Linked DNA regions of Drosophila melanogaster. The protein of the gene in region 4 purifies or fractionates together with the protein of the main gene of each other region. This does not show direct contact. Each region holds a gene or a part of one and is shown on either strand. Other genes may lie near its edges. The genes, in order: brm, Leash, ex and yki.

The links.
Region 1: the proteins of yki (region 4) and brm purify together in Drosophila melanogaster (affinity purification with western blotting; 3 studies listed by BioGRID, with this or other methods). This does not show direct contact.
Region 2: the proteins of yki (region 4) and Leash purify together in Drosophila melanogaster (affinity purification with western blotting; 3 studies listed by BioGRID, with this or other methods). This does not show direct contact.
Region 3: the proteins of yki (region 4) and ex purify together in Drosophila melanogaster (affinity purification with western blotting; 4 studies listed by BioGRID, with this or other methods). This does not show direct contact.

Annotation. Positions count from the first base shown.
Region 1 is NT_037436.4:15,979,815-15,984,442, reverse strand, and holds the start of brm (brahma), read left to right. Parts: upstream 1-1,573; 5' UTR 1,574-1,640; exon of another isoform or gene 1,641-1,874; 5' UTR 1,875-1,934; coding exon 1,935-2,175; intron 2,176-2,231; coding exon of another isoform or gene 2,232-2,243; coding exon 2,244-2,320; intron 2,321-2,554; exon of another isoform or gene 2,555-2,975; coding exon of another isoform or gene 2,976-3,258; intron 3,259-3,489; coding exon of another isoform or gene 3,490-4,073; exon of another isoform or gene 4,074-4,343; intron 4,344-4,438; exon of another isoform or gene 4,439-4,628. Other genes in the region: PolD1 (DNA polymerase delta subunit 1), read left to right, coding at 1-57; Arl1 (ADP ribosylation factor-like 1), read right to left, coding at 259-580, 849-1,065, 1,163-1,166; CG17027 (uncharacterized protein), read right to left, coding at 2,976-3,258, 3,490-4,073. UniProt on the Drosophila melanogaster protein: Transcriptional regulator. Acts as a coactivator, assisting one or more dedicated transcriptional activators of ANTC and BXC homeotic gene clusters. Can counteract the repressive effect of Polycomb protein.
Region 2 is NT_033777.3:10,883,963-10,888,590, reverse strand, and holds the start of Leash (leash), read right to left. Parts: upstream 3,052-4,628; 5' UTR 2,619-3,051; coding exon 2,504-2,618; intron 1,247-2,503; exon of another isoform or gene 932-1,246; coding exon of another isoform or gene 281-931; exon of another isoform or gene 248-280; intron 1-247. Other genes in the region: Ak3 (adenylate kinase 3), read left to right, coding at 281-931; CG14696 (uncharacterized protein), read left to right, coding at 3,757-3,871.
Region 3 is NT_033779.5:429,354-434,227, reverse strand, and holds the start of ex (expanded), read right to left. Parts: upstream 3,002-4,874; 5' UTR 2,111-3,001; intron 1-2,110. UniProt on the Drosophila melanogaster protein: Activates the Hippo/SWH (Sav/Wts/Hpo) signaling pathway, a signaling pathway that plays a pivotal role in organ size control and tumor suppression by restricting proliferation and promoting apoptosis.
Region 4 is NT_033778.4:24,065,430-24,070,392, reverse strand, and holds yki (yorkie), read left to right. Parts: upstream 1-1,907; 5' UTR 1,908-2,077; coding exon 2,078-2,928; intron 2,929-3,138; coding exon 3,139-3,230; intron 3,231-3,676; coding exon 3,677-3,832; intron 3,833-4,079; coding exon 4,080-4,132; intron 4,133-4,215; coding exon 4,216-4,320; 3' UTR 4,321-4,418; downstream 4,419-4,963. Other genes in the region: Gpat4 (Glycerol-3-phosphate acyltransferase 4), read right to left, coding at 151-393, 451-654, 1,059-1,193. UniProt on the Drosophila melanogaster protein: Transcriptional coactivator which is the critical downstream regulatory target in the Hippo/SWH (Sav/Wts/Hpo) signaling pathway that plays a pivotal role in organ size control and tumor suppression by restricting proliferation and promoting apoptosis.

The DNA.
Region 1 (4,628 bases), on a different chromosome or scaffold from region 4:
ATGGATCTGGACAATCAGGAGAAGCGGGTGTTGCGATTCGGCCTGGCCGAGTGGTAACCATTGCATGAGTTTAATGAATTGTTTAATCCTATAATTTAATAATTATATTACTAGAAGTTATTACAAAGTTTCTTTCGGTTCGTGGATTTTTTGCGCAATCTGCAATTTGAAAAAAGCTGTTGACGTTCCCTAGCTGGCGATGCTTTGGACACACATTTTTTACACAGGGATCTGGGGGTCTGAGGACTGGCTAAGTATCTACTTGCGACTCTGCAGGGTGTTGGACAGCCAGTCCATGGCCTGGTCGAGTCCCTCGCCCTTGGTGGCCGACGTTTTGAATATTTGAAATGTGCGGTTCTTTAGGTTCTCCAGTCCTAACGCATGATGGACCTCGGCGACGGTCATGCATCCGTCCATGTCCTGCTTGTTCGCCAGGACGACCAGTATCGCGCCGGCCAGCTCCTCCTCACGCAGCATGTACAGCAGCTCGTCCTTGGAGATGCCAATGCGGTCCCGGTCCGCCGAGTCCACCACATAGATGATTGCGTCCGTGTTGCTGTAGTAGCAACGCCAATAAGGTCTATAATGGAAATAGCACGAATTGAGATTAGGATTACCATTCTTAAAGGCCAAATAGATATATGTACGTAGCCTGCCTAAAGAAAGAACTATTAGCTATTTTAAGTTAAGTTGTGGATGCAGATGTTTCCTATCTTATCAGCTACAATTATAATGGCTTTTTGGAAACCCAAAAGGCTTACTAAACTACAACCGAAAATATGTCTTCTAGATATTAAATAAGACTTGGGTAATGCCATCACAATACTGCTCTCGTGTAACCAACTCACCTAATACTTGTCTGTCCGCCCAAATCCCAGACCTGGAACTTGAGGTTCTTGTAGGTGACCTGCTCCACGTTGAAGCCGATGGTGGGTATCGTGGTGACCACCTCGCCCACCTGCAGTCTGTAGAGGATCGTGGTCTTGCCGGCGCCGTCCAGGCCCAGGATCAAGATGCGCATCTCCCGGGAGCCGAGCAGTCCGCGAAAGTAGCTGAGCACCCCACCTGGAAGAAGAACGTATGATTTTTATGACCAGACTTCGTCACCGGGTGTCGCCGGAACGGGGAGGTTCCCCACGTCCATGCTCCGTGCTGTACAAACCCATGATTACGGCTGAACTTTGTCTAGTGCTGGCGCTGCCTCTAAATGCTTAAGTTTAGTAAACCTAGTTAATTGTATGTGGTGCTACAATTAATACAAAATCGCAGAAGTCTTGTTTTCACTTTTTTTTGGGCTGGAGAATGGTTTCGTTTTTGCCATTCGCAGGTCACGCGAACATGACGTGTCACAGCGTGCGTTCAGCACGAATATATTTTTGTAAAAAATAACATTTTAATAACTTTAAAAAAACGTTTAATATCATTAATTAAATTTAAATAAATACCATTTTAAGGAGTGCATACAGATTAATTATAAAAATATTCACAGTGACTTGTGCTGAACGCGCCCACCTTTATTGCCGGTTCACAGAGTTGCCACCCTTGCGTGACTTTTGTTATAGAGACGGCCGCCATTAGAGTTTTGCCGTCGCGTCGCGTTGTGAAAAGAGAAGAAAACCTTCTGAAAACAGTGCTAATAGGTAATACTTTCGGTGCCAAATGGAGCAATCCGATTGCGTTCTTCGCGTGCGATTAGCGTGCAGTTGATTTCGGCCGATTTGGCGTATCTTTAGCCGTTATTTTGGGTTTGCACCGGGCTGCGCGAAAAAGTGTGCCAAAAGAGGCACACAAAACGGTAGCTACGATTACATATCGTGGCTATAGCTTCTTTAATGTTGGTAAATACAGTGCATTGACGTGTGTTCCATCTGCAGATTAGGCTGCACCAGTTGCTGGATATCGCTATTGGATAAAGTCAAGAAAGGAGCTGCAATATGGCCTCGCCCTCTCCGGCGAACAGTCCCATGCCACCGCCACAGGCGCCCAGTCCGATGGCCCCGCCCTCGCAGAGTCCCGCCCCCTCGCCGCACAGCCCGTATCCGCACCAGCAGCCGGGTCCACTGCAAGGACCTCCGCCACCCGGACATCCCGGTGCCTACGGACATCCCATGCAGCACGGACCACCCGGCCAGGGTCCACCCGGGCATCATATGCCACCGCACCACCAGGGGATGAGTATGTTCTTAAACAACCCAACACCAATCGCTCCAGTCACACGTAATTATCCGTAGTTTTCTCAAAAGGTCCGCACATGGGAATGCAGATGCCGCCGACGGGACCGAACATGTCCCCCTACCAAACCCACGGAATGCCACCCAATGTAAGTGACCCCCAAGTCTAGCCGTAGGAATCAAAATAGTAAGCCTACTTAGATGTCTCAGTTCTCAAATCAAATCTATGCCATCTGGACAAACAGTAGCTCAGTGCAAACATTGAAAATATTTCCATCGATACTTTCAAAATTTTTATAATCAGTAATTAGCAAGTTTTTAAAATACTTAATACGTTTGTAAAAGATCCTATAAAATCTACATAGTATTCTAAACGGTAGATTAAGGATTTCTTTAAATTTCTTTATTTACTTTACTCTATATACAGATATGGGTACATAAATATCTAAATTCCATGTTAGACTAACATTTTTCTGAGGGATGCTATATGAAAAAGGTATAAACAATACGAAATTCGTGAAACTTTGTGAATAAGTATAGAAATACTAAATTTCCAAGTAGGTAATCTGTATATTAAGTTGTTTGCCAGCTAAATGCTTAAAATTATGGTATCATACGGTGTTGTTTTTCAAAGTCTCAAGATTGACGGGCTTTCCCGCCTTTTTGACGTGTATCGTGGAACAGCTGCCGGCGATTAAAGCTGGAATATATCCGAAAGCTCCCCATTAGCAGAGCTTCGAGCGCCAATTGGCAGTGCAGCTGACCCCAAGCTTTTCAATTAAGATCGTTGTTGCCTTGCCTAAATTACTTCTGCACCGGCTTCCCTCCCACGGACTCCTCCTGGTCTCCCTTACGCAGAAGGTCTTCGATCTCCTTGCGCAACTTCTCTGTGCCGGCGCAGATTAGATCCGGCTTCATTATGTCGAATGGTCCGCCAAAGGGATGTGTTACCACGCCTCCCGCCTCCTTAACCAACAGGGAGCCGGCGGCACAATCCCAGGGATACATGTCCTCAATGTAGAAGGCATCCAGATTGCCAGCGGCCACCATGCACAGCTCATCCACCACACAGGAGTAGGCAACAAGTCTGTGGATTTATGCAATATTTTGTAAGGGGTAATTTCTTTTTAAAAAGCTTTAAAATCTTTTTAATTATCTTCGAGAACAAAAGGCAATTAAAGCTTTTCATTTAGCAGTGACTGGTTAATTGCTTAGTACTCAGATACTTTTGTTTTGTTAATTTCACAGATTTTTACCCACTATATCAACGGGATTTAGTTTTGCGAAATAGATTCAAATTTATAAATGATTTACTTACCGTCTAGCATTCAATCCCACATGGTAGATCCTTTTGATATGCTTGTTGGCCACCGAATGGACATGCAGCAGGGACACTTCGTAGGCCACATTGGCATCCTTAACGCTCTCGCAGCTGCTCACGTGGATTGGTTTGCCATTGCAAAAGGCGCCTTGGCCCAGTTTCGTTGTGAAGAGCTTTTTCTGGACAGGATTGTTGATTACTCCCACTACGATTTGTTTGTTGATTGCCAAACCGATTGAAACGCAAACGTGTGGAATCTGCTTGATAAAGTTCGAAGTTCCATCGATGGGATCTATGATCCAGGTGGGAGCATTCGTCAGCTCTCCGGACACGTTGTTGTTCTTAGCCGTCTCCTCCTCGCCGATGAACTTGTGATCCGGGTATCTGGCCAATATTTTCTCCATGAGAAAGTCCTCAATCTTGTTGTCGTAGTCGGTGACCACGTCGTAGAAATCGCCTTTGATTGAGACGTTTTTACTGGCCATCTCGTAGCCCTCCATGAGGATCTCGCCCGCTTTGATGGCCAGGGGATGGATAAAGTTGTACAACTCCTCGATATCAGCTTGACTTACTCCTGCCATCTTGCTTCTATGCGTATTCCTTTGGGCAAAAAACGATCCGTCGCTGCTCAGCTCGCGATGTCAACTAATCGGAGAGATTGCACCCCACTGGGAGAAGCTCCACGCTCCGGCTGATTTTGTCTAGCTGGCGCTGGCGCTGGAGAAGTGCTTGCGGTTCGGTTACAATTCACTCGTTCTATGATTGTTTGCCTGCCTCGCGTTTTTATGATCGCTGCGACATCGCCCCATAGGGGTGTACTAAAAATTGGCAGCTCACCTGGCTGCGTGCCTCTGTTTTATCTCAATTGGTTTGATGTACACAAATAGACATACTCTTTTTTATCTCCACACAGACAGCCAGTCAAATAGTTGTAAAACCCGTTTTTATCAGCATTTTTCGACGCTCTCAGACTTTATTATTGGATGATTTACACACTCGAGCTGCAAGTCATAATACTCAGAGAAACCTTGCAGATATTATGTTAAAATTGATCGTAACTGTATTATAAAGATCAATCACTTGTCTTATAATCTTTAAACTTTGCTTTTATGCTTATCATTAAACATATTCGTATT
Region 2 (4,628 bases), on a different chromosome or scaffold from region 4:
TTTAGCGAAAACTATGACCTTCATCACCTCTGTATCAAACAATTGTGGCGTGCTTGATAGTCTTATCGCCCATAAAAGTAGTCGAGTATGGTCAACTGAAATAATTTTGGTTTTACTGCCAAGATTATATGTTATTGACCCTAAATCAAAATATAAAAACAGATCCTATATTAAATAGATAAACCGAATTTTTTTATCATATCATATTAAATTTAACCATGTATCAATTCAATTTTTTGTCTTGCAGCTCAAGGAGAGGTTGAAGAACTAGAGCTTAGACATGTTTACGAAAATCTTTCGCGCTGTGATAATCGGAGCCCCCGGCTCGGGCAAAGGAACTATTTCGGAATTGATCTGCAAGAACCATGGATGTGTGCACATCTCCACGGGGGACATTCTGCGCCAGAACATCATAAAAAACACAGAACTTGGAAAAAAGGCCAAGCAGTACATTGCTGAAGGTAAACTGGTGCCCGACGCGATTGTGACCAAGACGATGCTGGCCCGGATAACCGAGGTAGGCAACAGGTCGTACATCCTAGACGGATTCCCGCGCAATATAGCCCAGGCCGAGGCACTGGCTGCACGCGAGCAAATCGATGCCGTGATCACGCTGGACGTTCCACATAGTGTGATTATCGACCGGGTCAAGAATCGCTGGATCCATGCGCCCTCCGGCAGGGTGTACAATATTGGCTTCAAGAATCCCAAAGTGCCTGGCAAAGATGATGTGACGGGGGAGCCGCTGATGCAACGCGAAGATGATAAACCCCATGTGGTGGCCAAGCGACTGGAGCTCTACGATGAGGTGATGAGCCCGGTAATAGCCTGGTACGAAAAGAAGGGTCTGGTTGCCACTTTCAAGGGAAAACAGACAAAGGAGATCTGGCCGATGATGGAGCTTTTCCTCAACGACCGCATAAATGCGTAATGGAGCAACCCCGAAATTACATCCAATGTGCACAAACTAACGATAAACTGCTGTGTTCAATTAAGTGCATAATATATTTAGATATATATAAATGAATACGTATGAAATATGTATGTTTGTGGGCCGGTTAAGAGGAACAGGCGTATAATTAATGTAATTGCGAAGCCTTACACAGTAGCAGCTGTCATGTATTCCTTCTTCCACAGATATCATTCCCCTCATGAGCATGTCTTGCAGCTCCCCCCTTTTTTGTATAAACATATTTTTGTACTCGTATTCTGTGCTCTGATAATAAATCGCGTTTTTTATATATATAAATATATATATATATGCGCTGATAACAGCCGACTTTGACTTTTGGGCAGTTAACGGACAGCCGTCGATCTATTTTTAGGCAATGTCCACAAACCCTTGGCCCCATGCGTGAAGCCAACACTTTTAGCTTCACCTCATGACACCCAAATGCCCTTCATTTTATCGCGTAGCGCATTAATTTCTAAAAAATATGGGATAGTGTGGCGCTCCCGTTTAGTCTCGCGCTCTCTTACTCACACATGCACGGACCAGCTGCTGTTCTCACGCACACCTGTATAGTGGCAAATCACAACAGAGAGGCGCTTGTACAGTCAAGGGCGCCCAATTATGTCAGATTTAAAATTCTTTAAGTCATTTATAAAAAATTCAATAAACCACTTATTGTTTTAAAGGTATACTTCATAATAAAATGGAGATAGCTGTTTGCCTTTTAAACACTATACTTCGGAATATACCATTACTGGGAATCTTATTTCTGGATAATTAAAAAAAAAAACCTATATAAACCCCTTTGTGGCCACCACTGTGCTGCGAGCGCCCTCTCACCTCTCTCTCATTTAGACCCGACTTGCGCTTGGCCCAATATTACGGCTTTTTCGGCACGCCAACTGAGTGTGCCTCTCTTCGCACATGCCCCCACCGTCTACACTCCCCTCTCGCGCGATGCGTTTGGGTTGGCATTTCCTGAAACAAATGCCAGTACTCAAGAATCGTGAAGAACGAAAAGAAATTCAATTGCAATTGCAACGGGCGGCAATTGAAAGCTTATCGATGAATGAAAGGCGAGCGCCGAAGGCAATTAGAGGAATTTGCGAGCAAGAATCTCGAAATTGCGGTGAAGCGGAGGGGGAGGAAGCCCCATAAAATGGCCGCTGTGCTTTGTTAACTGATGGAGTTCTTTGTTTATGCGAATGGGGCCGCAACGAAAGTCCAGCTGACCATCGGGCGGACAATGGATTGCAAACCGCTGACAAAACAGAAAAAAGCACATTTCTATTTGTGGAGTACATGATGGGTTGTGCAGAAAACCATCTTTGTTAATATTAGATTACTATATCTAAGCTAAATCTTTTCGGTAATACGATCTATATGTACACATGTAAACAATACCCAGAATCATAAACTAAGAGCCTAACGTTAAATGTAGGGTTTTGAAACACTTTCTCTGCGTGTCTACAGCTGAGTCATGGATGATGCAAGCCGAGCTTTGAGATGTGCATTCCAGGAAGCGGCAAGTTATGCTCGACTGGCACTTACCGCGTATTTTGGTGCGCTTGTTGACGTTCATCCAGATCTCGCCGCGAATTATGTCGCCCGCAAAGTAAACCCGATCCGCGCTGTCCAGCGTGATTCGCAGCCGCTCGCTTTCCATTCCGCTGGCGTTGATGGTGATGACTCCTCCGGTTTGGCCACTTTCCTCACGCACTTATCCAAAAATAATTTCGTCATCAAAATGCCGCCACATACAAACGTACATGGATGCACTGCAGCACCACGGCCCGCACCACCCTAAAGTATATGCAGAATAGTAGCACCACCACACGCACTCGCCTCACGATTTACGATTTGATGTTACTACACACACCGCGCGGTGAGTGGGAGCTTTTTCGCGCTGATTGTGGCCAGTTCTTGGGGAATCTCGATATCCATCAATTCGCAATGGCCCACAAGTGTTGGTCGCACACCCCGGGCTAATTTAATTCGATTGCTGTCGTCCGCTGGCGGGTTGAATAATTAAATTTCTTATAAATTTACGAGATCCGTGAGTTACGCTTTTTTGTTGTAGCTGCAGCTCTCTTTCGATAACCGTGAGAGCGGCGGTCCGATAGCACGAACAGCTGTTGCGCGGTGCTGCCACCGGGCGCCTGGCCAGCTGAAGCGGTTAATTCGCAGACTTTTTAATCGGTATTTTCAAATGTGTCTAATTTAAAGTTTAAGTTCTAAACAGCGTTTCTTAAATGCACTGTTTTCAGTTGTAATGCAAGAGTTCAGAAATGCTTGGTAGTAATGGTCTTTTTTTATGGTTTGATGTTTGAAAAGAGAAGAAGAAACTCTCTGTTTGAATATCGCCAATAATTTAAGTTGATATATTTCACTACGAATAATAATTACCAAATATTTTACTGTATAGATAACAAAACGCTCAGCTTAGATGTCAGCGATGATTGAAGCATACATACATATTTTATTAAGATTAAACTTTAGTTGGCTTAGCAGCATAATGCTCCATATAGTATTTCGTGTGCTTCCCCGTTCTGTCCTTCGCTTCTTCTTCTTGTAACCTCTCGCGCACAAAAGTTTGCTTCTCGGTTCTTCGGTCTCACCAAAGACTTTTGAGAATTCAGTATTAAGCCAGAGCTGCTCGCGTTCGGAGCTTGCGAGCTGAGTCGCCGGAACCCTCGAATACATCGAATCCCTACCTCTTCCACCAACTATCAATAAAACAAACAAAGGAACTTGATAGCGCGATACCACCCGACACCGTCGCCAAGGAGCCAATTCTGGACAGGATGAGCAGCAAGGTGAACTTCGTCTTCGACAGCAATCCTTTGGGGCTCTATCAAGCCGGTCAGCTTATCTCCGGCACGGCGGAACTGATTACGGAGCGCCCCAAGACGATTCGATGTAAGTGACACCGACATGCGGAAGAAGACGCACTACATACATATGTATTCTAATGGACTCGAAACCATGACGTCATCCCCCTCCATCACCATTCAAATTCTGAATCCCATACCGTTTTACCATCCACTAATAAATAAATATCCACTTAATATTGTTGGTGCTTTGTTATCCGCTGGTTTAATGTTATTGTTGCCGGTAGATATGCTTGAAAGATGTGTATTGTATATACAAATGTACATATATGTATGTATACATAAAGTTTATATACAACACACATGTGGCCGCTTGGCTGGCTGGCGGATATCTGATAGCGGCGTAAAAACTAGTTTTGTTTTGAAATTGCGTACGCTGTTTGTATTATTAGATATTTGATTCAGTTACTGGTCAGCCCGTTCGTGCCAATACCTTTAAATTGTAGTGTATAGGTAGCATTTTGGGTCAATTAGGCGTAATTCATGCAGATATACATATATATATAAATTTATACAAATCCCATTAGCAAGCTAAGTGGACCCTAGCCATCGGTTCAAATTCAAATAATCAAATATTTCCTAGGGTATCAAATAGTCGAGCCTTAGCAGCGCTTTAATTTGATGGTGAACTTTATTAGGTAGCATTCGTTTTTTTTATGCTTCTGATTAAATTATTGTTAGTTCATTAACAAAGACAGTTGTTTGTAGCTGAGCAATTTTCCAATACAATTCTACATCCGAAACACACAAAAGGTCCAAGGTCAATGGCAATTAAACTAAATGCA
Region 3 (4,874 bases), on a different chromosome or scaffold from region 4:
CACCTTTAAAGCATTATGTGGATAATATATATTGTTTTGAATTGAAATCATCGCAAGTAATTATGAAAGCAGTTTTCTGTATGCCGGGCTTAGTGTGCCATCAAATCGCCAAATAACTCGTCGTCTCTTTGCCAAACTGCGAATATCGAATAGGAGAAAACAGAAATCAGGGAACAAGCGACTGAGAAATAAAACAGCAAAGCGGCAAATGCCGAATTCCGAGCTGCGGAATTCCACTTGTTGTGCCAGTTATGGCCAAACAATTTGATGTCTTTGAAATGCGTGAAATGTCCCCGCCGACCGCCGATGATAATAATGAAAATGGTCGCTTGCTCGGTTGGCTGGATAGCTGTGAGGAGCAGCCAGGGCGGAGTGGGCCAAAAGAAAGCAGCCCACACGTCGTCGCTCGGCTTCAGTTGGCTAGGCACCACAAAATCGCACCACATCGCACCACTCTCCTCCACTGCGCACCACACCCCGCAGACGCGAAATGCCCAACTGGGCGAACGAAGGTGGTAACGGTGGCGGAGGCGATGGCCTCCACAATGAGAGCAGCAAACAGCAAGATACAAAAACAAAAAAGAAGCCGCAACGTGTGCCGCATGCCAAATCGGAGGCGTGCGAAACTATGCTGCCATAATACCGTAGAAAAATTAGCAGTCCATACAGGGTATCTTGGGTTAAATGAATGCGCTATAATACGAGTAACCAATAATTCTAAAGTTTAAGGTATTTTGATTATGGCTAGAATAATTCTTTGACCAATTCTAAGTAAAGAGGCTTTTAAGTTTTTGCCTATCTGGCAATATGTTGTTGAAACAATATTTTTTTACGAGCATAGAGATAAGTACATTTTTTTAATCCTCGAAGGTCGTTCATTAGTGTATCCTCTATATCTCTGAGCCAGCCTCGACTCCGATTGTCATTCGAAATTTGTTTAATTTGTTGTACATTTTAATTGCCTGAATTGTTCGAGGCAATGAGCAACCAGAGTTTTCAATGTTCGCACACGCATATCAACTGCGTGCAGGAATTTCAGTTTACGAAATTAATATTTTGAGTTTGTATGATCATTGCTGTTGCTGTTGTCAGCTTCAATGCAAAAGCCCATTGCCTGAGGTCAAGTGTGATGTGGAGATCAAGAGATACGCACGGAGATGGAGATGTAGACGTCAGTGCTCAATCGAAAAAACCACAAGCGAACTAAAACTACGATCCGGGGAATACATGTGTACTTGCCGAGATATAGATACGTCTGTCCGCAGATACAGTTACCCATATGTATATGATTGCCTGGTGGCAAAATCGTTTAACGATTAGCGTTTAACCGCTTAAAGCTTATCGACTGATACCCAAAGCGTGTGTTTTCACCCGTTTGTTTATCTTTCGCTGATTTACATTCAAGATGTCTGATTGCCAAGCGGTTTCTGATTTCAGCAATTGTTCCAGGGATCCCGATGGACGGTTGAAATTCCAAACCCGGGAATAACAATAGAACTCTGTGGAGCTTCCATTTTCACTTAATTGCATCGCCGTCGATCGTTCTGACAACCGTTTAAGTCGCCTATTAGCCATAGAACCTATCAAATTGACTAGCTCACTTGGAAATTGGATCCCGAGATAAGTGAAACCCTGTGCAAAGATACTTTAGGGCCGCATAGAAAATGTCAAAAAAAATTAATTAAATGTGACCGGTATTTAAAAAGTCGGTCAGGCCTACTATATAACTACATATGTATGCACATGTGAATGTACATATATATTTGACACAATAGTACTCTAAACAGCTTCCCCATTTCAATATACCCTCCGTAGAGTGTCAAGTTTGACTGACATTTGATATTCCATGGCCCGAAATGGGTTAATTGCACAATTCGCTGAATTTTTGACTCTTAGCGGGACGCAAAAAAAAAAATTTAAAGAAAAAAGCTGGCGACAACAACGAAATGTTAAACAATCGTTGGACGTTGGCGATTTTATGGTTGACAGATAAGAAATTTGCTGGCATTTGTTTTGTTTGCCGTTTTCAGGGAGTCATTAAAATTCCGGGGAAATGGCCCCATATGGGTACACCACTCTATATCTGCACGTGTATCTGTCCTTTTCTTACCTTAAGCCGCTGCAGAAGTCGGCATTGTTAATGCTGTATCTGTATCTGCTTCTGTTTCGGTTTCGCGTAATCCACAATAACTGGCTTTTTAATTTTGGTTTGGTAGTTTTGTTTAACTAAAGCTCACTCTTCGTGCACTCTTAAAACCGATCTATTGATTTGGCTATCGATAAGTGCCTAACAGTAAAATTTTCGTTTCGTTGTTGTTACTTTCTGACCTCTTCCACTTCCACGACGCGCGCTGCGACTGCGCAGTCAACAGCGATCGGGTCGCATTCCAGCGTCGCACATACTTTAATCAAAACTCACTAACACCAGAACAATTGCACACGCGGGCGAGCGCAACTGAGAGTATCTGTGTGCGTGGAGTCGTTGTTGTTGCGCGAAAGAATGCCGTTTGCTGGGTTGTTGTTTTTGCTGTTGCTGACTGCTTTATTTGTTGTAGTTGTAGTTTCCAGTGGGCAGTTGTTGTTGCGGCTGAATTTTTTCTTTTTGACCAGCACCAACTTTTCGGAGTTGACTTCAGCTTTTTTACACTACTAGTCGTAGATATTTTCGTGGTTTTAAGGCGCGTTTTCCCAAAATCAGAACTAGTTGCACCAACACCAACAAAAATCACTTTTGTAATTGAGGCGAGTGCGAAAACGAAGCGCGCTGTTTTTGTTTCAGTGAAAACCGAACTTCACTTTAAGCAACTGAATCTGTGTAGCTCTGTGTGTGTCTGGGCGATCTGGTGTGCGTGCGGTGTGCATTTAAGATCTGAAGAACAACTTTTCCGAATGTTAGGTCTCGAATAAATTCATTAAACCGAATTTATATTTCCCAGTGGAAAGCACATGCTTTGCTGTCCCGACGATCTGTTCGGTTACCGTTGACGTTTAGCGATATACTGATTTTGCCCCTGCTCAGCGAAACCGAACACAACGAAGATCGAGTCGAGATTTCGTTAAAACTTAACGAAGCCGCGTTTAACGAAAAGAGAGCCCAAGAGAGAATTCGAATTCGAAAGAAGCGCACACAGCGATACACAAACCCGATGGCAACAACAACAACGGCTACGAAAATGTAAATAGCAATAAGCAATAAAAGAAAAACAAACTTCAAAGGAGAATCCCAGTAGCCAACTACATAGTGTGTGCGTCCGTGTGAGTAGTGGAATTCCAATGGCTTATCTCGCGAGACGACGATTCCGATTCTCAAGGGCTTAAAGGATACCCTGTTAGGATAGCAGATTTAAGTAAAATGCATATGAGAATTTTAACAAAGGTACCTTTCTTTCTAATTCTGCTTTTTATCACATGCTATCTTGTAGTTTACATTGTATATTACAATTACATTATGAGTTCTATCTTTTGGCATTCACTTTTTGCCAAACTATGGCGGAAGCCTATTGGATTCAAATCTAGCTTTCAGTATCCCTGCGCTAGCCATCGATGCGACTATCTTATAAATAAACTCTCTGGGCAAAACTCCAGATACAGATGCACTGGACGAGGGAGAATCGGAATCGGAACTTGAGGGTCTGAAGACTCTGCCTCTATCGGCGTCCTCTGCTGCTACGATATCGTCACTTGGGCGCATTCCTCAGCATAATGTGAGCTTGATTTGCTGGATTCTTTTTGCTCCCTCTTCCCTCTTTTTCTCTTCTTTAGATTTCCTCCTTTTCATTTCCCCTCCTCCACCTCTTCAACCATCATTTGCTTCAAATATGCGGCATACACACGCCCCACGAAAGGGCGGGGATCAGTGTAAGCCAAGTAAGGTTTTAACCAGTTCGTCCAAGGGGCTACTTAGAAAAATCCACAGAAAACAAAATTTAGATTATATGGAAAAAAGTCTAAATGATATAAAAATCGTAACTAAACACAACCAAAAGACTATATAATGATGATCGAAGTTGTGCCCCGGTGCCAAACCCTCGCTACGCCCCTGAAGACCCGGCCAAAAGTCGAAGACTCAGAATTGGAGAGTCAAGGGGTCGGGGTCGGGTCGTCTTGCCATGGACATAACTTGTTGACTGAAGTCAGGGAAGTGGTGGGGCAGGGGTAGAAATTGGGCGAGACATTCCGGTGAGGCGGGGTTTCGATGGGAACAACTCGCACAGCCTTTGATTTCTTTGAGTGTACTTTGCGTTGTGGTGTCTGCTATACCCTGTTTGGGATACAACGGGAAGAATTAAAAAAGGTTTGTAGGTTTCAAAAAAAGTACATGCCACTCCTGGGACAAATTTTGAAAATTTCTCTATTGACAAGCCTATGGTGTAAGGGAATTTGAGTAAAGGTAGTTTGTTACCCACCGGATCAGTCTGACTACAAGAGATCTAGAGTACTTCCATCTTCGACTTGAAGCCCAAGCTTTTCATTCTTGTTTTTTTTTTTTGTTTTGTGGCTGTTCGTTATTCTTTCGTCTTTGGTCGATCGCTTGGTCGCTGGTTCTCTAAGACCGGTTGTTGTTGTTGCTGTAAGCAGCCTTTTGGGAACTACGTTCTTGGTCAATATCGTGTAGATATACATACGTTCTATATCTGTGCTTGTGTGTGTGCGAGGTTTGGAGCCTGGTCGAGGCCGAAGTTTTGAGCGAGGAGAGTGAAAAAATAAAAAAAGAACGGCCAAAAATGTTTTATGCAATTCCTTGAAGTCGATTTCAGTCTCCAGTCTCCCGGTCCAGAGAATCGCTTTTGCGGAATTGGCGCGCATTTCTGGCCTTTTTTTTTGGCAAAGTGATCTTTCAGCCAAGAGCAGCTGCCATTGATCCTCTTTCTATT
Region 4 (4,963 bases):
ACAGCCCAATCCCTATGCATGATGCTGTTCTCCAGTCTAAAGCGGAATACATTACTTAAGCGTATCCTTTGGGATAATTTGTAGCATGCATGGGAATCGGGACGATCGGGTAGTTGTGGAAAAGCCACTAAATGAACCGAATGTACTCACACCAACGAAGCATACCAATACCCGGAGGGGCATCAGGATGACGTAGCGGATGAAGAAGCCGAACACCCAGATGGAGGTGATTTTCCAGGAAATGAACTCGTAGTGCCTATTGGTGCGTGTCAGCATGTTCCAGCTCTTGAGCTCCTCCGCCTCGAAGCGCGACGTAACATCGTCCTCGATGATGGCCTCCACGCCAGACTTTACGTAGTCCAGGCATTTCTCAAAATCGAAATTGATTTCATCCTGCAAATGGGAAATGTTGTTTAAATCAGGTGCCCATTGCAATGCCGGACTCCTTACCTTTGTGGAGGAAACTGGCTTCTCTGGAGCGGGCTCCTGTGGCTGGGGCAGGAGTACCGCGTCCCTGGTAATCAATGTGGCTCCATTGGTGCCTTCTTTGGAATCGGCGTCGTCCACTAGTTGCACTCCCTGTTTGTCGTCAGTCTTGGGATTTTGAATGTGTTGGTTTTCTTTGGATGCTGTCTCTATACTAACTCGACCATACTGAAAGTAGAGGTGATTAGTTGTTAACGAGTCGAATCGGGGATTATCTGCAGATAAGATTATCGCAAGCATATCGTCGGACGAGGTAATGACTGGCACTTTACAAGTGTCTGGGAAGCGGCAACTTGGGTGCACTGGCGCACTCCTGCCCCGCAGATTCCTTGAGGATAGCCGAAGAATCTACTTAAAGCTTCCGGGCAAGCAATAGTTTCTCGAACTCGCCTGCATTGCAGTAATTGCGTAGGGCAGACGTAGTATGGCGTACTCCAAAAGCTGACTATATTTATGGACTTTGGAATAGCTTAACTATTGGTAAGACAGCACCATTTGCAAAGCCACCGCAGCAGTGGAGCACCTCAAATCGGTGCTTACTCATCTGAGGAACGAAAGCAAGCAATATTTACCTCGAATATCCTTAGGAGGAGGTTCACGTACGCTTTTCGGACGCCGATTGATTTGTTTATGGCGGAAATAAATATGAGAAATGAGAGGAAGCCCCCGATGGGGATCCAGAATATGTCCAACAGCACGGCGATCATTTTACATTTGTGTCATGCGACATTAGTTATTGTTAAGCGAAAAATGCCTCCGAATTGTGTCGTGCCAATATATACAATGTTAAAATACTTTTTGCTGTAGACCGAACTAGCGATGGACCTTGACTGTGTCAAAAACCTGTCTCGTGCTCACAGACCTGGCCCGCGCTCATCTCTACGGGGAACAAACGGAAAGGGGACGATTCCGGTCGGGCAGGAGACGGAACGGCTTCTTGTTCCACTGCCAATCGTTTTGAAAAGGGTTGAATGAACGTGCACTGAAAACAAAAAGGCACATTTACATTCAGATTATATTGTTATTGGGTATGTGTTTTTGACAGACCTTTACCTGCACTTATTACTTAAATCAACAAGGCACATTTACAATCAGTTTATATTGTTATTGGGTGTGTTTTTGACAGACCTTTGCCTGTACTTATTTTCACTAAACAAAATGTTATAAACCAATAAATAATAATTGTTAGTCTAATAATTTATAGTCTGATATTATGGAACACAAGTGTGTGGGCTATACACACACCATAATTTAATATCTACTTTGTTTTGTGCCTTATTAATTACAAAATATAGAATAAATCTTTAGCTATAGCTAAAGGAAATCGACAAAAGTCGTAATCGGCTTGCGGAATACCCCTGGCATTCCGCAGGTGCAGCCACGAAGCCGATTACATGAGGAACGCTAGTATCGGAATGGACAAGTGGACGGGGATAGCCATCTGGCAACACTGGGATAAATTTATTTTATGTTGGCAGTTCCGTAATTATTATTATTACTATTATTTATTGCAACGAAGTTTAGTTTTTAACACCTTAATGTTATAGTTTCGCGCAGCGCGATGGAGTGATACGTATATGGAAGAACATATATGTGCGCGTGCCTAATCGCTAAGATAATTCTATGTAGTTTTCGTTTGTATACAATAAGTGCCTTTTATATGTTAACGACGATGTCAGCCAGCAGCAATACAAACAGCCTGATCGAGAAGGAGATCGACGACGAGGACATGCTTTCGCCGATCAAGTCCAACAACCTGGTGGTGCGGGTCAACCAGGACACGGACGACAACCTGCAGGCGCTATTCGACAGCGTCCTGAATCCGGGTGACGCCAAGCGCCCGCTGCAGCTGCCCCTGCGCATGCGGAAGCTGCCCAACTCCTTCTTCACGCCCCCGGCGCCCTCGCACTCGCGGGCCAACAGCGCCGACTCCACCTACGACGCGGGCTCCCAGTCGAGCATCAACATCGGGAACAAGGCGTCCATCGTCCAGCAGCCAGATGGCCAGTCGCCCATCGCCGCCATCCCCCAGCTCCAGATTCAGCCGTCTCCCCAGCACAGCCGCCTGGCGATACATCACTCCCGAGCCCGCAGCAGCCCCGCCTCGCTGCAGCAGAACTACAATGTGCGCGCCCGGAGCGACGCAGCAGCAGCCAACAATCCGAATGCCAATCCGAGCAGCCAACAGCAGCCCGCTGGGCCCACTTTCCCAGAGAACAGTGCCCAAGAGTTCCCCAGCGGCGCCCCGGCCAGCTCGGCCATTGATCTGGACGCCATGAACACCTGCATGTCGCAGGACATTCCCATGTCCATGCAGACAGTGCACAAGAAGCAGCGCTCCTACGACGTCATCAGCCCCATTCAGTTGAACCGCCAACTAGGCGCCTTGCCGCCGGGATGGGAGCAAGCCAAGACCAATGATGGCCAGATCTACTACTTGAAGTGAGTTTGGGCAGATTTTAAAAATGATATGCATGAAGCTTTATTTAATACGTGTCTTCTTTATGAACTTATGAAAACTAAAATATTCTTGTGAGTCACAGAAATCTCATTGGCTTCGTTGGATGTCTTTCAAGTTTATCTCTTAATCATTACTAGCTCAACTAATACCCAAAACAGCAATCTCAACAATGGTGTTCTCTCTACTTGCAGTCATACTACAAAATCTACGCAGTGGGAGGATCCCAGAATCCAATATCGCCAGCAGCAGCAAATCTTGATGGCCGAGCGAATAAAGCAGAATGGTAGGTTCTATCTTAGATGTAATGCCTTAGATAAGCAAGTCGTTAACTGCCTGTGGCTGCGTCTCATTGTTAACCCACTTAAATCAGCCATCAGAGGACTAATTAATGCTAGAGACCAGGCAGGGATAAGATAGGCTCTAACTCATTCCAACTAACGCATGAACAGCACAGTACACAACCGATTTCAGGGAGTCCATTCCGTCCATTTTGAGCGCGCCAATGCACTTTTCGGGATTGGGTTGGAGTCTGATCATTTTGGCATTCGGAAGTGGGAGCTCGATTGGATTTGCTTTGAGCATACTCCAATTGATTTTGATATGTGCTGCATGCTGGGCGCCAGTGCCCCTCCGTTCTCATCCGCTTACACACTGCAGCATTACGTTGAAGACATATTTTAATTTGTTTTTATTTACTTTGGTTTGTAATTCATTGTTTTTGTTCGATAGATGTTTTGCAAACTACAAAACAAACTACCACATCGACCATTGCTAACAATTTGGGTCCACTGCCGGATGGTTGGGAGCAGGCAGTTACCGAGTCCGGAGATCTTTACTTTATAAATCACATTGATCGAACGACTTCATGGAATGATCCCAGAATGCGTAAGTCTCGTTCCACCACCCCGACTAGCGTAAGACAACGAGACACACAGATATCGTAGCGATATCGCTAGATAACATTGAGTGCGCAGTGGGCGGGGGGCCGATCACGTAATTCCCATGGCATCTCTGCTTTCACTATATAGTATAGTACTGATCTTGAGATAGAGGCCGAACACTCCACACTCCTTATCGCTCCATGCCTCGCCTTTACTAACTTAACGCCTTCCCTTACCGTGTATCTTTGCAGAATCTGGGCTTAGCGTGCTCGACTGCCCAGATAACTTAGTGTCTTCCCTCCAGGTAAGCATTCGCAGTTGCCGACCGCCGAGTTGGCGAACCGAGTTCCACGCCACTACCTCACTTTGCCCACTTTACGCTTTCAGATTGAGGATAATCTTTGCAGTAACTTGTTCAATGACGCACAGGCCATTGTAAATCCGCCGTCTTCCCACAAACCTGACGATTTGGAATGGTATAAAATTAATTAATTCAATGTATACATCTGTATTAGACCTAAAAGTTTTATATTTTGTATTATTCTAAATTAAATATTTTTCAAATTTTATAGTATTTCTTTACATAAACGAATTTGTGTGTTTATCATTATTACTGGGCGCCTTGTTTCTGGGTTTTAAAGCTTCCGACGATCAGTGAACGCACTGATTGAAAAGAAGATATCTGATTCAGATGACTTTCGAACGCCGAAGAGAGAGTTCAGGTGGATGAAAGGTGTGGTCAGCAGCGATGACTCATGCCGAAACCCGAATACCCCGACTATTGTAAAGTGCAAGCCAAGTAACCAAGTAACCAGAATGCGGCGTGCATTTGGACCAGAATGCACGCGATTCATGAGCTTCATTGAGTTCGATCTGTGACCGACCCAGCAGATTCAGCTTTACGTGGAGCCAAAGACATCCATGCTCATCGGTGTCATTCGCTTGCGAATCTGTTCGCGTTCGCTCTTTATCAATGCTTACCCATGAGTCACTTTTGCAAATATTCTTCTAATTTAGCATGAATTACTTATTTTCGTGATGTCAAGCTAGTCATCGTTTGAATTCTTTCAACAGCTTTCATAGATGATAAGAGTTGGACTTGGGTTTTTCACCACAGCTTTGTTTCAAGGAAATG